Astyanax mexicanus: one gene and its partner. The protein of the gene in region 1 binds, or shares a complex with, the protein of each later gene. Links are inferred from orthologs where the notes say so. Each region holds a gene or a part of one and is shown on either strand. Other genes may lie near its edges. The genes, in order: espl1 and pttg1.

Region 1 (7,889 bases):
TGTTGTGTCACACAAAAAAAATAATTATTTTAACAAACATACAGCTTGTACATGAGAATGTAAGAATTGAATTGCAACAATTTCTCCTATGTGTTTGTTACAGAGAAAGGTAAATGTATCTGTGGTACCTGTGATTGCACTGAGTCAGGTTACGAGGGCCGTGCATGTGGCTGCTCAACAGACAAAAAAATGTGTCAGAATGAGCACGGACTATTGTGTAGCGGCCATGGGAAGTGTAGGTGTAACCAGTGTGAGTGTAATCCTGGTTTTGTGGGACAGCATTGCTCCGATCTTGTCTCTCCATGCCAAACATATGTGTAAGTATCTGTTTGTCAAATTAATTTTAATGTTCTTTACTGTTCTTTCATTTGCTGAGTATTCAGCACTGAAATATGTTTTATTTAGATACTGATTTAGCTCTGTTGTGTGTATATCTGTGATATTTATAGAAAATGTGTGGATTGTACAGTCCAGAGTGAGCTTTATAGTCGCTCGTCTAACTGCTCTGTGGCTTGTGAGGCAGTTCAGATGGTCCACCTGAAGGACAATCATGAGCTGCCATGTGTGCATAAGGATGTCATTTATGACGTGACGCTGAACAATGACGGCACAGTGAAGATCCAGTACGCTAATCTGCCAGGTAAGTTCTTACACTCACCTGCCTACACTCGTCTTAGCTGCAATAGTTCACTTTGACTGCAGGTTTTCATTACAACTCTTAATGGTTAAGGAAGGCAGCATAAGCCATTCCATTTAAGAGGTCACAATGCAGGCAGACAGGCATAGCATAGGCCAACCCATAACCTTCTGAAACAGGTACATGAAACAGGTCAAAACAATGGATTCAATAAATACTGTAGCCTTTATTCTTCCAGCACTACTACCATTCTGTAATAGGGTGGGAATTTAAAATGGTTAACTATTATTTGTTTGTTTACTTTCAAATAAACAAATAATAAAGTTATATGTATATAAATATATACTATTTTGCCAAAAGTATTCACTCACCCATTCAAATCATGAACGTTTGGGTCACTCTCGGGAGCTCAGTGAATTCCAGCGTGGTACTGTGATAGGACGCCATCTGTGCAACAAGCCCATTTGTGGAATTTTCTCACTACTAAATATACCACAGTCAACTGTCAGTATTATTATTACACAGTGGACATGCAACTCGCTCCGTCAACATAAAATACCAGAGTGGACACACAGTCCACAGCACAGTCCACAGAGAATCCAACTGTAGTTGATCACTACAGACCTCCAAACTTCATGTATTTTCAGATTAGCTCAAGGCAAACTGAAGGCAGATGAGCAGATACTTTTGGCAATATAGTGTATATGAGTGGGATGTTAGTGTATGTGGTGTGCGGTTCAACTCCTTGTTCCTATTGTGCGTGGATCAGTTCATCCATAGAGAACAAAGGAACTCTTAATTGTGTGTTTTGAGTTGATTGGTTTAAATAAGTGTTTGTAATCATCACTGTCTTGAATGAGCAGCATTTTGAGCATAAGTTCCCTTTAAAAGTATTTTAATGTTTTTTTTAACACTCACAACAAAAAAACAATACCACTTATAAAATAATGTTTATACAAGTAAAACAATTATGCATGTTCAGATAATCAGTTTTTGTCCCTCTGGTTCATAGGCACGGTTGATAAAACCAAGATAATCATTGGCACGTCAGTATCAGCCATTGTTTTTATTGGCATTGCAATTATCATCATCTACAAAGTCCTGCTGGAGCTTTATGATCTGAGGGAATACCGCAGCTTCATCAAGGCTCAGCAGCAAACTGATTGGAAAGAGGTTCTCTTTATTTGCTTACTCATTTACTTGTTTCCATAAATTATAATCTTCTTTCAGAAATATTAGGTGCTCTGCTAGATTGTCTCAATATTTATCCTTTCACCTTCACTGTCTTTCAGACTAATAATCCACTGTTCCAAGGAGCCACAACAACAGTGCTCAACCCTCTGCATTCACAGGACAGCTAAAGCATCACGACTGTAAGGAAGGAACTGGAGAGTGTGTCAATGTGATTAATATGTCTGTGTATTCTATTCTGATTGTATCATTTTTGCAGTGTTTTGTAATACACCAATACTTTATACAGGCTTTACAGAGTAACATATAGGCTGCATATTTCCATAACCAGTAACATAAATTATTATACATACAGATGTATTTGTCATTCTGATTGAAAGCGCATTTAAGATGTACATGCAAGTTTAATGTTAATCAGTTTTTTTATTTTTACATGTTTTTTGCAGCATGCAAAATGATAAGCAGCTTTAAGTGTGAGCTCTAAAATCATTTCATATTCTATATATTATTTTTATTATTATCGAGGCACTGAATGATGTTACCTGTAATGTGAGAGTAAGTCACAGAGGTACAAGTCTCGAGTTTGGATGTTGTGCTTGTTGTGTCACTGATTTTTCCTCAATCTATATTTTTTAATAGCCCCTTTCATAATTAGTCATAATTATATTGCACTCTGCTGGTCTGCCGTGTCCTGGTAGGTTGCCAGGTTCACACATTGGAACAGAAATCAACCAATAATGCTTCAAAAACAAAATGAAGTTCTTAATGTTTAAATCAGGCTTTTATCAGTTTTACTCAAACAAATCACAAGTTCAGATTGCTTGTGCCTAATCATGTGACTGGGTTTCCCCACCTCTTGTGACTGAAACGTATATCGCAGCTATCCAATGAAAAACAAGTATCTTTATTTTTGTTGATTTTTTTAGTTTTCTACATCATTTGAACAAACACACTATTCTTTACACTTGATGGATTAATAGAAATGATCCAAACTTAAATTTAAATAATCCCCTTTAACACTGACTTATATTAAAGGTTAAGTGACTGTGTTTCTAAGTTGCTGTGTATATGTCATTTATATATACCTATTTTGCTGATTTTTAATGGACTATTTAAAGTTTATTTTTTTGCACATTGGAGATCACAATGAAGTGCATGTAAATTTTGTTTATTAAAATATATAGAACCCCAAAGGAATATTCCCTGTTTATAGAATGTATTTGACAATTATCATAGATAGTTATAATATATACATTATATTAGTTTAATTAAATACAGCTTTATGTATTATTAATATGTTTTATATTCTCTCTAAAGAATTTTATTTGCATGAGCTTAAAGATTAACATTGGCTAACATTGATTTTTACTGATGAAGACGGAGTTAATTTTTTCGTACTTAATATTAAAAAATGTTTTACTAAAAATTGAATTTAAAAAAAATTATAAAAGAAATTGTGATTATTGTTGCCCACCCCTAATACACAGAGCTTACTGTTGTAATACAAATTAATGTAGAATAGACAGCTCAGTAAGGTTTATAATTGTTGAGTTTAAAAGCTTTAAATATGTTTGCAGTAGTAAAACATTTAATATTGTTCTGTTTTGAGAAAATGAGTACAATGTTCAGTATGAAAATTATTAAACATTTATAAACTCTAAATTTGGTCAGTAGCCCCATATGAACCCACTTATTTTGGGGCCCATCAGGGCGCGCCCTCTGGTGGTCAAACAAACCCAGGAGATGGGCCGTTCTGGGCTGGATATGCTCCTCTCTGTAAGTGATTCTCTGTTTGAGACGCTAGCGTTACTGCTATTGTGAGCTTACTGGTTTGATTGAAAGGTTTTTAACATGAGTTTTAAAGCTTTAAAAAATATGTCTGCAGTACTGAAACGTTTTATATTGTTTTGTATTAAGAAACAAGTATATTGTTCAGTATGAACATTATTTATTATAATGATTATTATTATTTAGCTATAAACTATGATTTTGCTCTGTTGCTCCATATGAACCCATTCATTTTGGACTCTCGGGAGCACGGCCAGTGTTTTGTTGATTTATGCTACCCGTTGATATGTGCTACTTAGCATCCCTGCGCATGCGCTAAACCACGGTTTTTAAATGCTTACAAGTGTTTTTTAACTAATTGTGTTTTCCTTGGGCGGATTATATAATCTAGGTTTACTGGTTGGCTTTTATTATTTTCTTCAATGTAACAAGAGTAAAAAGAATAAAAATATATCACACTTAAGCCCTATCCAGATGGGATTCTTCTGTGAAAAATGTTTCACACTTCTACTCGGTGATAAAACTTGGCATCCAGAGTGCAATTGAAAAAAAAACAGGAGGACCAGTGAGTTTTTTGGCTTTCTCGGTCACGTGACATCGTGTTCAGTAGCTCCTCCATTTCCACTTGCTGTTGTGTTTACGTGGATCTCCGTGGAAACACACACCCAAAGTGGAATTACAGTGCGTAGAAGTGGACAAATAGCTAGTCTATTAAATGTGAGGTAAAACTCAGGGATGTCAGTCCAGACAGGTCAAAAATTACCTTACGATCACAGAGTTCAGAGAAAAACAGTAGGTAATTCAACCTGGAATTTTCTCAGAGGATGTCTGAGAAAAACACATACATTGTCATTTTGGACGGGAATAAAAGCACAGGAGACCTCATGAAAGAGAAAATTAGTACCCCAGAACCCTTTGAGAAACCAAGATTTACTGCTTTAGGCCAGTCATATATGCTGCCTGTACTTCAGCTTGTAGCATTCTCTGATTGAGAATGCCTTATTGAGATATCCTGCCTGCTGTTTTATTTACGTTATTTTTTTCTATAAGTTAATATACACTGCGGCAGCGCGATTTGAACGGGTAGCACAAATCGACAGAACACCGGTCAGAGAAACCAACATAGGTTCTTAACTGGGTATTCTCCTTTACAGTTTCTCTGGTGAAACCCAAAGCTTTCTGTACTACAATACCCATAATGCAAGTCCTACATTTCCCGACAAGCTGTGCGCTATTTTGAATAAGTGCGCGTCGCCCTGTTTGTTCGGTTCACGGCTCTATCTAGTGCTATGTGTGAATTACAGCAGTGTCGCTGAAACGTTTGTTAATAGAAACATTATAAAAACAGTTTCGTATAAATAAGGTCATTTCTCAGGAGTACGGTAAGTGATAATGTTATCCATACCGCTGTTCTGCTCGTCCTGGTTTCAGCTAACTAAGCTAAGTTAACCGTTAGCAAACGCTAGCTAAGATGGAGTTACCTTAGTTAGCGTTAGCTAGGTTAGCTTGGCTAGTTAACTAGCTACCTGGCTAGGTTAGCTGTCGCTAACAGTTTAGGGACTTCATGAATTAAAGTGGACACATTTCAAAGCGTTTGTGACGCATAGCTAGCTAGCTTTAAATCACCATGGGCTCCATATAACCCTAGCTAAGATAAAGCTTTAGTACTTGAACCCTAAGCCCAAACACAAGTGTCACTTACCGGCTGGTTTAGTTATGTCTTTTTATTTTGAATTCTATTGTTTTGCTGTAAATCAGCTGGATAGCAAGCTAACGTTAGATATGTAAACTAACTAGCCTAGCTTGCTTTAATTGTAAACAACCAGGTAACGTTAGCTATATTTTTTATTGTCTGGCTATATGGGAAGTAAGTTACTAAACACTTAGTGTAAACACTAAGCTGCCATTCTGTCAGTACAGCGCGGTTGTATTAAACTGAAACAAGAAAACTCTAGATCAATTAGTTATCGGTCTATAGAAATGTTCTTATTTACATGCTAATGCTACACTAGCAAACTAAGTTAAATTTACTTTAGCTGCCTATCATAGGTTTCTCACCTTCTGTCAGGAAGTCCAGCTGTACTTTGTCGCAAGCCTGTTCATGTTTTTTTATGGCCCTAAAAAATATCACGATATATAATGGAATTTTTGCGATAACGATACACTTCGCGATGACAAAACACTGAATTAAACATATTTCGAGAATACACTGCTGCAGCAAATCAAATAACTAAAAATGTTATTATTGCATACGATATGATATGGTACACCCCTACCTGGGAGATGAAGAATACAAGAATTTTATATGATTTGTAACAGGAGTCAATGATCCAGAATGTCATGATACTAATATTGCACTCCACCTATCTCTATATATTCAGTACTGAAGTAAAGTAAAGTAAATTATACCGGGCAGCTATAATCTGTCTCTAGTAGGTATATATGTTTGCTAAGACAGCAAAAAAAGTAGTACCCTAATGGGGTGGATGATATGGCAAGATATTTCATGGTATAATATTGTTTGCGATATTCAAAAATGTAGGCAATATTATTGCGTACAATACTGTATGGTTCACCTCTACTTACTACTACCTACTGATAAATTATATATTATATTTCAGTTTTAAAATCTTTTTCCATGCCATTGTCTTATTTGTTTACATTTTGTTAACAGTTCTCAGATACTTAACACATTACTACATCCGTATGTTGCGTGTTTTATTTAGCTTTTACAGCTCTTACAAGATCTTATAGGCACAATTTATCAATGTGTTGATTTCTAGTTGGGCAAGTCTTTGAAAAGCATTTGGCTTCCCATACAGCTAGGGATGCACCTGTGTGGGAATTCTGGGCCAGTGCTTGTATTCGATATTACCCATGTAGGCTATATATGTGCTGATGCTGAAATACACATGTAAGACTGACAGACGCACACTACAAAATTTCATTTCCTTACATTATAGCTTTCAACCAACTGTAATAAAATAATAAAATAAGTGATGTCTACTAAAGTTTGTTTTCATTTTGTTACAAATTGCTTAATGTTGGCTAATTAAAGTAGTGCGGCCTGCATCATTTGGTCCTTTTCCAGAATACAATAAATGCATCAGCAAATGTTGGTTTAAAATATTGACTAAAACTGATGCATCTGTATTTACAGCCACAATTAGCATTTTATGGCCTTTTGTTCACAATGATTTAGGTTACTTTTAAACCATGTTGTCTGCAAAAGTAGACAAATTTGTTGGTAGAAAAACTTGCTTAAGGAATATTATGGCTAATTTCTTGGTGTGCTTCTGTTAGTTTGTTAAAGGGAATGAAATGTTCCCCGTCGCATTTTGCATTAAAATTTAAGTTTTATAATCTTTCTTCATCTTCTGATCTGTATTTATGTATATGATCTTGCATAGACTAGAATTATATGGCTTAACAAAATCACTGTCTGTTGCAGCAAGAGCCGAAAAGGAAGAATGAAATGTCTAAAAACAGATGAGTACGTACAACGGATATCCTCTATAAAGGACACTGTTCTTCTTCATGATGAGTTGAAGGTAAGTTAAAAACAAATTAATTAATTTGGATTAGTAGTGTAAAGTATGTAATCTATTCTGAACATTTTAAGTATAGGCCTCAAATTGTCTCTGCTGTATTTTGTTATAGAAACACGTGAATGAAGATCTTGGACCTTGGGGGCGAACAGTTTGTGACCGGATTATTCGAGCATGCAACCAGAGGCTTGGCAGTGGACCTCTACAGCCAGATCATCAAGGGCGTCTGGTGGATCTTGTAGAGTTGGCAGTAAAAGGTTATGGCTTGAATGCTGACCCTGCTGTATCGGGATGCCCACTTTACCTTGAGAAAATAATCTTCCACATCTTGCAGAAGTTGGTTAGTCAAGGAGCTCATGGCCCAGCCAGTCGACTTGGGGAGCTCATGTACCACAGACTGCAGACATACTCCACAGAGGTATGCAGATAGATTTCGTTTAAAAGATCCTTGATTTCAAAGGGGTGATAAAGCAACTTTGCTATGAGACTAAAGTATGAGTATTTAGTCTGGGATTAAGGTAGCCAGCAGTCAGTAGCAAGTGAAAGACTGTCTGTCTCCAGGTAGCATGATTCTATTTGCCATTTTTTATTACAGTTATACAGTGTCAGAAATCACATAGGTGGTCGTGTCACATCTTATTTATTATTAGACCAATATTTTCTCACATCAGTTTTTCCATGTTACATCACTCCATTGGCTGTTTTGTTAACCTTGTAGGTTCAGA
Region 2 (7,107 bases), on another chromosome or scaffold:
ACTTTACAATATGGTGCACATCTTGGTCTATTACTGACTTATTAACCCCTTAATAGCTCAATAAACTTCAGTACAGCCATAACCTTACCATAAACTCACATAGATCAAACTGCTGCCAATTATAATAACACTAATAACATGTAGAATTAGCTAATAATTAATGCTTAATAATCTGATTAACAGGGTGCTGACATAACTGTTTATTGTGCACTATAAGAAATAATACAGCTATTATTAATAATTTCCACATAATAGACCCCTAATTCAGCACCAATAACACTTATGACACAGAATAAAGCCTCATAATTAGTGAATAAATAATTTACAAATGTCTAATTAAAGCAAATAACAAGACATTAATAAGCGCCTAATTTGTGTTCCTTAAAATAAAGTGTTACCAGAAATACATATGAAATTATTTTATAAATGAAAAATTGTAAAAAATGTTTACATTTTAACTTAAATTAGACCCTTTATTTCAGTCAGTTTTATGAGGATGATCACCTAGAATTTCAGGCTTTCAGTTAACAGCTGTGCCGAACTCATCAATAGTTAATTACTTCAATTTCTTGCCTCTTAAAGTGTTTGAGAGCATCAGTTGTAAAGTTGTGAAGAGGTAGAGTTGGTGATCTATTATCTATTATATGTATTTTTCACAGGAGTGACCACAGTTCTGACGATGACGACTCTGATGATGGGTGCCAGGACATCACTGCCCAACGCCAACTGCTTCATCAAGGCCATAGATGTCTATCTTGGTATTTGCTTCACCTTCATCTTCGGAGCTCTGCTGGAGTACGCCTGTGCACATTTCTGCACCATGCAGCACCAAACTATTCTAGATGTACAGAGGGTAAGTGTTCTGTGTATATTTTACATATATAAATATTTATTACACACAGAGTGATCTATTTTAAGTCTTTATTTATTTTATTGTTGATTATTATGGCTTACAGCCAATGAAAACCTAAAAATCAGTGTCTCAGAAAATTTTAACATTATATACCACCAATTGGGAAAACACTGCACTGACTTTGGACTTGATAATAAAACACAGTGGATCAACACCAGCAGATGACAGACATGTCTCTCCAAACCATCACTGATCATCAGTAAATTTTACATTTCATTTGTAAATCAAGAGATCAGAGTCTGGAGGAAGAGTGGAGAGACACACCGTCCAAGCTGCTCGAGGTCTAGTGTGAAGTTTCCACCAATCAGTGATGGTTTGGAGAGACATGTCTGTCATCTGCTGGTGTTGATCCACTGTGTTTTATTATCAAGTCTAAAGTCAGTGCAGTTTTGTTTTCCCACAAAATCTTACAGCACTTCATGCTTCCCTCTGCTACTGACAACTTTTATAGAGATGCGGATTTCATTTTCCAGCAGGAATTGGCACACTGCCCACACTGCTAAAAAGTATAAATTGGTCTTATATAATAATCATTTTTATTTTATTTTTGGCTGTAAGGCACAATCATCAACAATGAAATAAATACATGCCTAAAATAGATACATTTGTGGGTAATAGTATTATCTATATAATATATGAGTTTCACATTTTAAACTGAATTATTGAAATAAAATAACTTTTCAAGTATTTTCTATTTTTTCTTAAAGACATAAACCATTAAAAATGACAATTACATTTGTTTTATTATGACAATTCAATGCTTTAAAGTATAACTTACTACAATTTTGTTTACTTATATTATTCACTTTGTCTCAGGAGCTTCTGAAGGAGTTTGAGGAGTCGAATGGAAACGGCACCATCCAATTAGTGACGTCCACCACACCCAACAAAGCCCTGAGCAAAGAAACACAGCCAGAGATGAGCGAGCAGTCTGTGCAGTCTGTGCAGTCTGAGGGAGACGAGCAAACAGAGAATAAGCAGGGGAACGGCTGTGGTCTGTCCTCGGTGAAGCAGGCGTCGCGCAGGGCGGCGTCCATGATGAGCGTGGAGAACCCCCACAACATCGACCGCCACTCCCGCACCCTGTTCCCTGTGGCGTTTCTCCTGGTCAACATCTTATACTGGCTGTATTACCTTTTCATCTAATCAAACAGACGCACTGGACTCATCTACGCACAATGGCCTAGTGAACCCGGCGACTCCGAGGACTAAACTCACGACTGAAAACACTCTTTAAGTCTTTAAGTGCCCTGTAATGCTGAACTGGACCAGCAGTCCATTCAAACAACAGACGACGACAACGTAGACAACAGATCACACAAATCAAACACAAGCACAAAGGAAAAAATTCAGTGACTATTCAGTATTTTTGTTGTTGTTGGCTTCCATATAATATATATATATAATGGCCTTCATGTTTCTACATCGTTAAAAATGTATACAGTTATTTATTTATTTATTTATTTATTGCAAGATTGAGCATAGGGAATCTGATTGTTATTGGCTGATAAATTCCATGTGTATGCTGTTTGTGCACTTCTGTATAGGCTGCAATATGATTCATTTATTAATACTTATTAAACTATCAATCGACTTACTGTTTGTTTGCTTGAATTTTTGGGGTTTTATTGACTTTCACCCAGAGACGGTTTATAGAGAAACTGCCCATTTCCCATCTCCATTATTATCACAGAAAATCATACCAATGAGTTAAATGTTGTTGAATGGAGCTTAAATGCTAAGCACTTATTTAAAAATAGTAACTAACTACTTATCTAATGTATTTCATTAATTTTGGGAAGTAAATTTATGTATTTCTCTAAATAATCAAAGAAAACATACCTGTATTTTTCCATTTTTTGTACAGTAGCATTACTGCAACTGTGAGCTGATTGGTGCTGTAATGTTGCTTATATGCTGAATATTGGCGGTTATGGCAGTTTTGTTTGCATTTTGCCGTTTCTGACTCTTATTTCAGGTGTTTAAAGGGTTACTTAACCTTCTGATTTTTGCTGACTTCACCCTCAGCTTAAATTTAAAAAAGGCAAAAAATGGGAGGGGAAGTTTGGGAGGGGCACTGAGTGATGTATGGGTTTAGAGGTGGGGCAGGAGGGAGAGCTGATTGGCTGAGCTGCAGCAGCAGGAAACCTCTGGATGTCAGCAGGGGGGTCATATTATTGATAGACTGATCTGCATATTGTGATGTGTCTGCGGAAATTACCACAGTAAAAGCATTTTTTAAAGGAGGATGAAAACTGACATGAGTATAAATAAACAAATGCACATATAAATGAAGGAGTGATTAAATAAATAAATAAATGTATAGATAAATACATGAATTAATAAATACATTTTATGTATTTATAGATTTATTAATTTACGTATTTCTACATTTATTTATTTATTTTTTTCTGCTTTTATTTATATATTAATTAATTTATTTCAATTTGCGTTTCATTTGCATTAGAGCAGTAAGAAACCAGTTGCTTTCGTCTGATTCAGCAGTTGACCAATCCTGCTTTAGAGCTACCTAATTAACATACAAATGCAGAAATACTGAAATAAATGAAAAGTGGAAATAAATAAATAAATAAATAAATAAATAATAAATAATATATGAAGAAATGTGGAAATACATGAATAAATAAATGTTCAAATGTTGAAACAAATAAATAAATGTAGAATAAATTAATATTGACGCATTAAAATATGGAAATAATTATTTAATTATAAAATGATATATTATAAAATTAATTATAATTTTAAGTGTGTCGTTTTTCAACATGTATTTATTAATTTATTTATCTCTACAACTATTTATGCGTGTGTTCATGTTTTTATATATTTATTCATGTTATATATATATGTGCATTTATTTATTTATACGTATGTCATTTTTTTGTCGTCCGTATTTTTTAAAGGTTAGTAAATGTTTATAAAAAAAAATAATCAGGACAGGTATGCTTTTTTACTTTAAAAGAACACATTTCTGCTATTAATATAATAAATAGAATTTATGGTATATAATGGCTGTATAAACTCGCAGTGGTGTGATCTGGCCCCAGGGCGGCAGCACCGCAGAATAAACAGAGCTGAACACAGCGCGGCGGAAGAGCGGCGGAGCAGCAGCCAATCAGGAGGCGAGTTGGGGTTTAAAACCGGGAAAGTTGAAACCAAAACAAGTCCGTTTATTTACTGAGAGAAACCTGACTAATCTACAGAGAGAAAACTGCGATTTATTGCGAAATTTCTGCGCTTTATCGGGGATTATCCGCTGTTTGGTAAGTTTACAGACATAGTTTATCATCGTGTTGATGTGTGTAGCTGTGTGTTATGCTGTTATTGAGTGTTTTTGAGGTGTATTCTGGGTGAGTTTAGTGGGAAACAGTTAACGTAGTATCTCTATAAACTTAATTACTTATTAACTTATTATTTAATTACTTTAGATGACTTTACCTCATTTTTCCAGCAATATTCTCTCTGTTTTTAAATTGAGACAGTCTGTAAACAAACTAGCTTAAGTTATATGTAAAAAATAGTTTCCTTGCCTATTAATACAGACAATAAAATCATGTTAGCTAACGTTACTACTTTTAAGTTTACATACAGATGTAACTTAAAGCCTAAAATCATTATTCTTAGAGAAAGTCATATATTAAGATAACGTTTAATATGTTACATAGCTAAATTTGACTTTATTATTCCCACATCAGGGATTTTTTTTTTTCCAGCAGAACGAAAAAATGTATAAAAATAGGAGACCAACATAAAAATAATAAGTTCTTAGATTTTTACCAAATTGAAAACCTCTGGAATATAAGCAAGAGGAAGATGGATGATCACAAGCCATAAAACCTGAAAAACTGAACTGCTTGAATAGATTTTTGCACCAGGAGTAAAGCAGCATAAAGTTATCCAAAAGCAGTGTGTAAGACTGGTGGAGGAGAACATGCAAATGAATGAAAACTGTGGTTAAAAACCAGGGTTATTTTACCAAATAATAATTTTTGAACTCCTAACTTTATGAATATGAACGTATTTTTCTTTTTGCATTATTTGAGGTCTGAACGCTCTGCATCTTTTTATTTTGTTATTTCAGCTATTTCAATTTTTTTTTTTTTTGCAAATAAATGCTCTAATTGACAACATTTTTATTTGGTATTTGGGAGAAATGTTGTCCGTAGTTTATAGAATAAAACAACAATGTTCATTTTACTCGAACTTATAGCCTAGTTAAGATGTAGCTAACCTACTACACATGGGGCAAGTACGGTGGCCGAGAAAGCCCAGCGCAGTGCAAATTGAAAAGCGCTGCAAAAGCACAAAACACATCCATCAAAATTACAACACAGGCGCAGCAAATAGAAAAACGCGCTGCAAATAGAACCACAACACAACGGAAGTGAGTCACAACACAACGGAATTTTCCCGGGGGACCTTAAAAGATGCTGTACCAGCTGTATACAAAGGACAATAAGTGGCAAACAAGCTTCTGAAAAGTAAGTTATGTTTATTACCTGTGATTACCACGGTTGTGTGCATATTATTAAAAGTTCTGCTTCACAAAACGCCTTGTTTGCCACTTATTGTCCTTTGTACACATAGTGAAGTCCGAGACGTTACTGAAGACGCAGCTTAGCTGGTATATCTTTTAAGGTCCCCCGGGAAAATTCCGTTGTGTTGTGACTCACTTCCGTTGTGTTGTGGTTCTATTTGCAGCGCGTTTTTCTAGTTGCAGCGCCTGTGTTGTAATTTTGATGGATGTGTTTTGTGCTTTTGCAGCGCTTTTCAATTTGCACTGCGTTGGGCTTTCTCGGCCACCGTAGAGGCAAGACCATAACATAAAGAGCCACAGCCAGCTTTAACTGTATGGGAAAACTCTTTAATGGAAGAAGTGTCCTTTATGTCCATTATTTTAATCCAACGTGTGCCTTATACTATGAAATGTGGGACAAGGCAGTATAACATTTAAATGTAGGTTAACATTGTCTTATTTCATATAGTCTTTTAGTACTAGTAGCGAAGTTGCTTTATTTATACATACATACATACATACATACATACACACATACATACAGTGTATGTGTGTATGTATGTATATATATGTATATATGTGTGCTGTTTTCCTGTACTTTGCGATTACTTTGAAACTAATAAACATAACAAAATAATAACTACAAGAATAAAAAGAACCGGTGTCTTGTCAATGTGTGCTACATTGTCAAACCGTGCTACTGCAGTGTTTATTTAAAGGTAAAAATATTGGCTGGCTAGATTATTCAGAAATTATTGTAGTTAATTTTTGTGATTTGTTCACTTGTTCTAAGTATTTCTTTTAAATATTCTTCTTTTAGTGAAACACCATGGATACCATGATTTACCTCGACCAAGAAAACGGCAGGCTCACCGCTCCCAACCTCAAATCTCGACAGAGGCTTCAGTCTGCACCTGGTGAGCTTAGATACACCTGGGAATGAAGTGCTCATAAAGTGAAATTTTGCTCACTATAGTAACAACACCAAGGACCAGTGCCTGGTTGCATGAAAGGCTTTAATGCTCTTAATGATCATCCCTTGTTGATAAGTGTGTTGCCTAAGAAGTTATCTGAGGGCTTTCTTAAGGGAACCTTTTAATCCATTAAATGTTTCCTTGAGTATCAAATTTACAGTGTGTGAAAATGGGACCCAAAACCTCACTTTAACTCCCGAAAAACTGAGTTACTGAGATGTATTTATTTATTTATTTGTTTATTTGTTTGTTTTAATTGATAGATTAAGCTGTATAGATATCTGTATAGATACCATTATTAATCTATTAGGTAGAATGCCACAAGTTCAATTCAGAGAGTTAAAGGTCATATAATATAATATAATATAATATAATATAATATAATATAATATAATATATAATTTGTAAGATTGGTCTGAAAAGTTGCTAAATCTACTGATCAAATTGCTAAATAAACAACACTGGCTGTCTAACAGCACTAGACTTATGATTTATGCAACCTTGTACAGATGCCTGGATGCTAAAGTCATATGTCTAACTTATTTAAAATAATTGGATGTATTGTATTTACCAAATTGCAGTATTTAAATAATAGATAATAAAGGATAATATACGGTCACTCCTATAATTCATGTATTGTAGCCCTTAGTGTGTCACACATGCACATTTAATGAATTTAATTGATC

What was found.
Region 2: the proteins of espl1 (region 1) and pttg1 are in contact, whole or in part, in a cryo-EM structure (PDB 7NJ1), measured with the Homo sapiens proteins. The link is inferred for Astyanax mexicanus from reciprocal best matches to the Homo sapiens genes ESPL1 and PTTG1. Residues at the interface, in NP_036423.4 of Homo sapiens: His402, Thr405, Val406, Tyr409, Ser461, Asn462, Tyr465, Tyr468, Arg505, Arg508, Glu512, Glu544, Thr547, Phe548, Arg551, Gln590, Lys593, Ala594, Val595, Arg596, Thr599, Gly600, Arg603, Gln634, Cys637, Tyr638, Trp683, Ile686, Glu690, Ile697; in NP_001269311.1 of Homo sapiens: Tyr111, Pro112, Glu113, Ile114, Glu115, Lys116, Phe117, Phe118, Pro119, Phe120, Asn121, Pro122, Leu123, Phe125, Glu126, Ser127, Phe128, Asp129, Leu130, Pro131, Glu132, Glu133, His134, Gln135, Ile136, Ala137, His138, Leu139, Pro140, Leu141.

What each region holds. Positions count from the first base shown.
Region 1 is NC_064412.1:17,117,334-17,125,222, forward strand, and holds the start of espl1 (separin), read left to right. Parts: upstream 1-4,843; 5' UTR 4,844-4,998; intron 4,999-7,067; 5' UTR 7,068-7,086; coding exon 7,087-7,167; intron 7,168-7,276; coding exon 7,277-7,582; intron 7,583-7,889. Other genes in the region: itgb7 (integrin beta-7), read left to right, coding at 104-317, 450-640, 1,650-1,810, 1,930-1,998. UniProt on the Homo sapiens protein: Caspase-like protease, which plays a central role in the chromosome segregation by cleaving the SCC1/RAD21 subunit of the cohesin complex at the onset of anaphase. During most of the cell cycle, it is inactivated by different mechanisms.
Region 2 is NC_064417.1:50,022,165-50,029,271, forward strand, and holds the start of pttg1 (securin), read left to right. Parts: upstream 1-4,038; 5' UTR 4,039-4,194; intron 4,195-6,267; 5' UTR 6,268-6,276; coding exon 6,277-6,364; intron 6,365-7,107. Other genes in the region: gamma-aminobutyric acid receptor subunit pi, read left to right, coding at 660-853, 1,730-2,059. UniProt on the Homo sapiens protein: Regulatory protein, which plays a central role in chromosome stability, in the p53/TP53 pathway, and DNA repair. Probably acts by blocking the action of key proteins.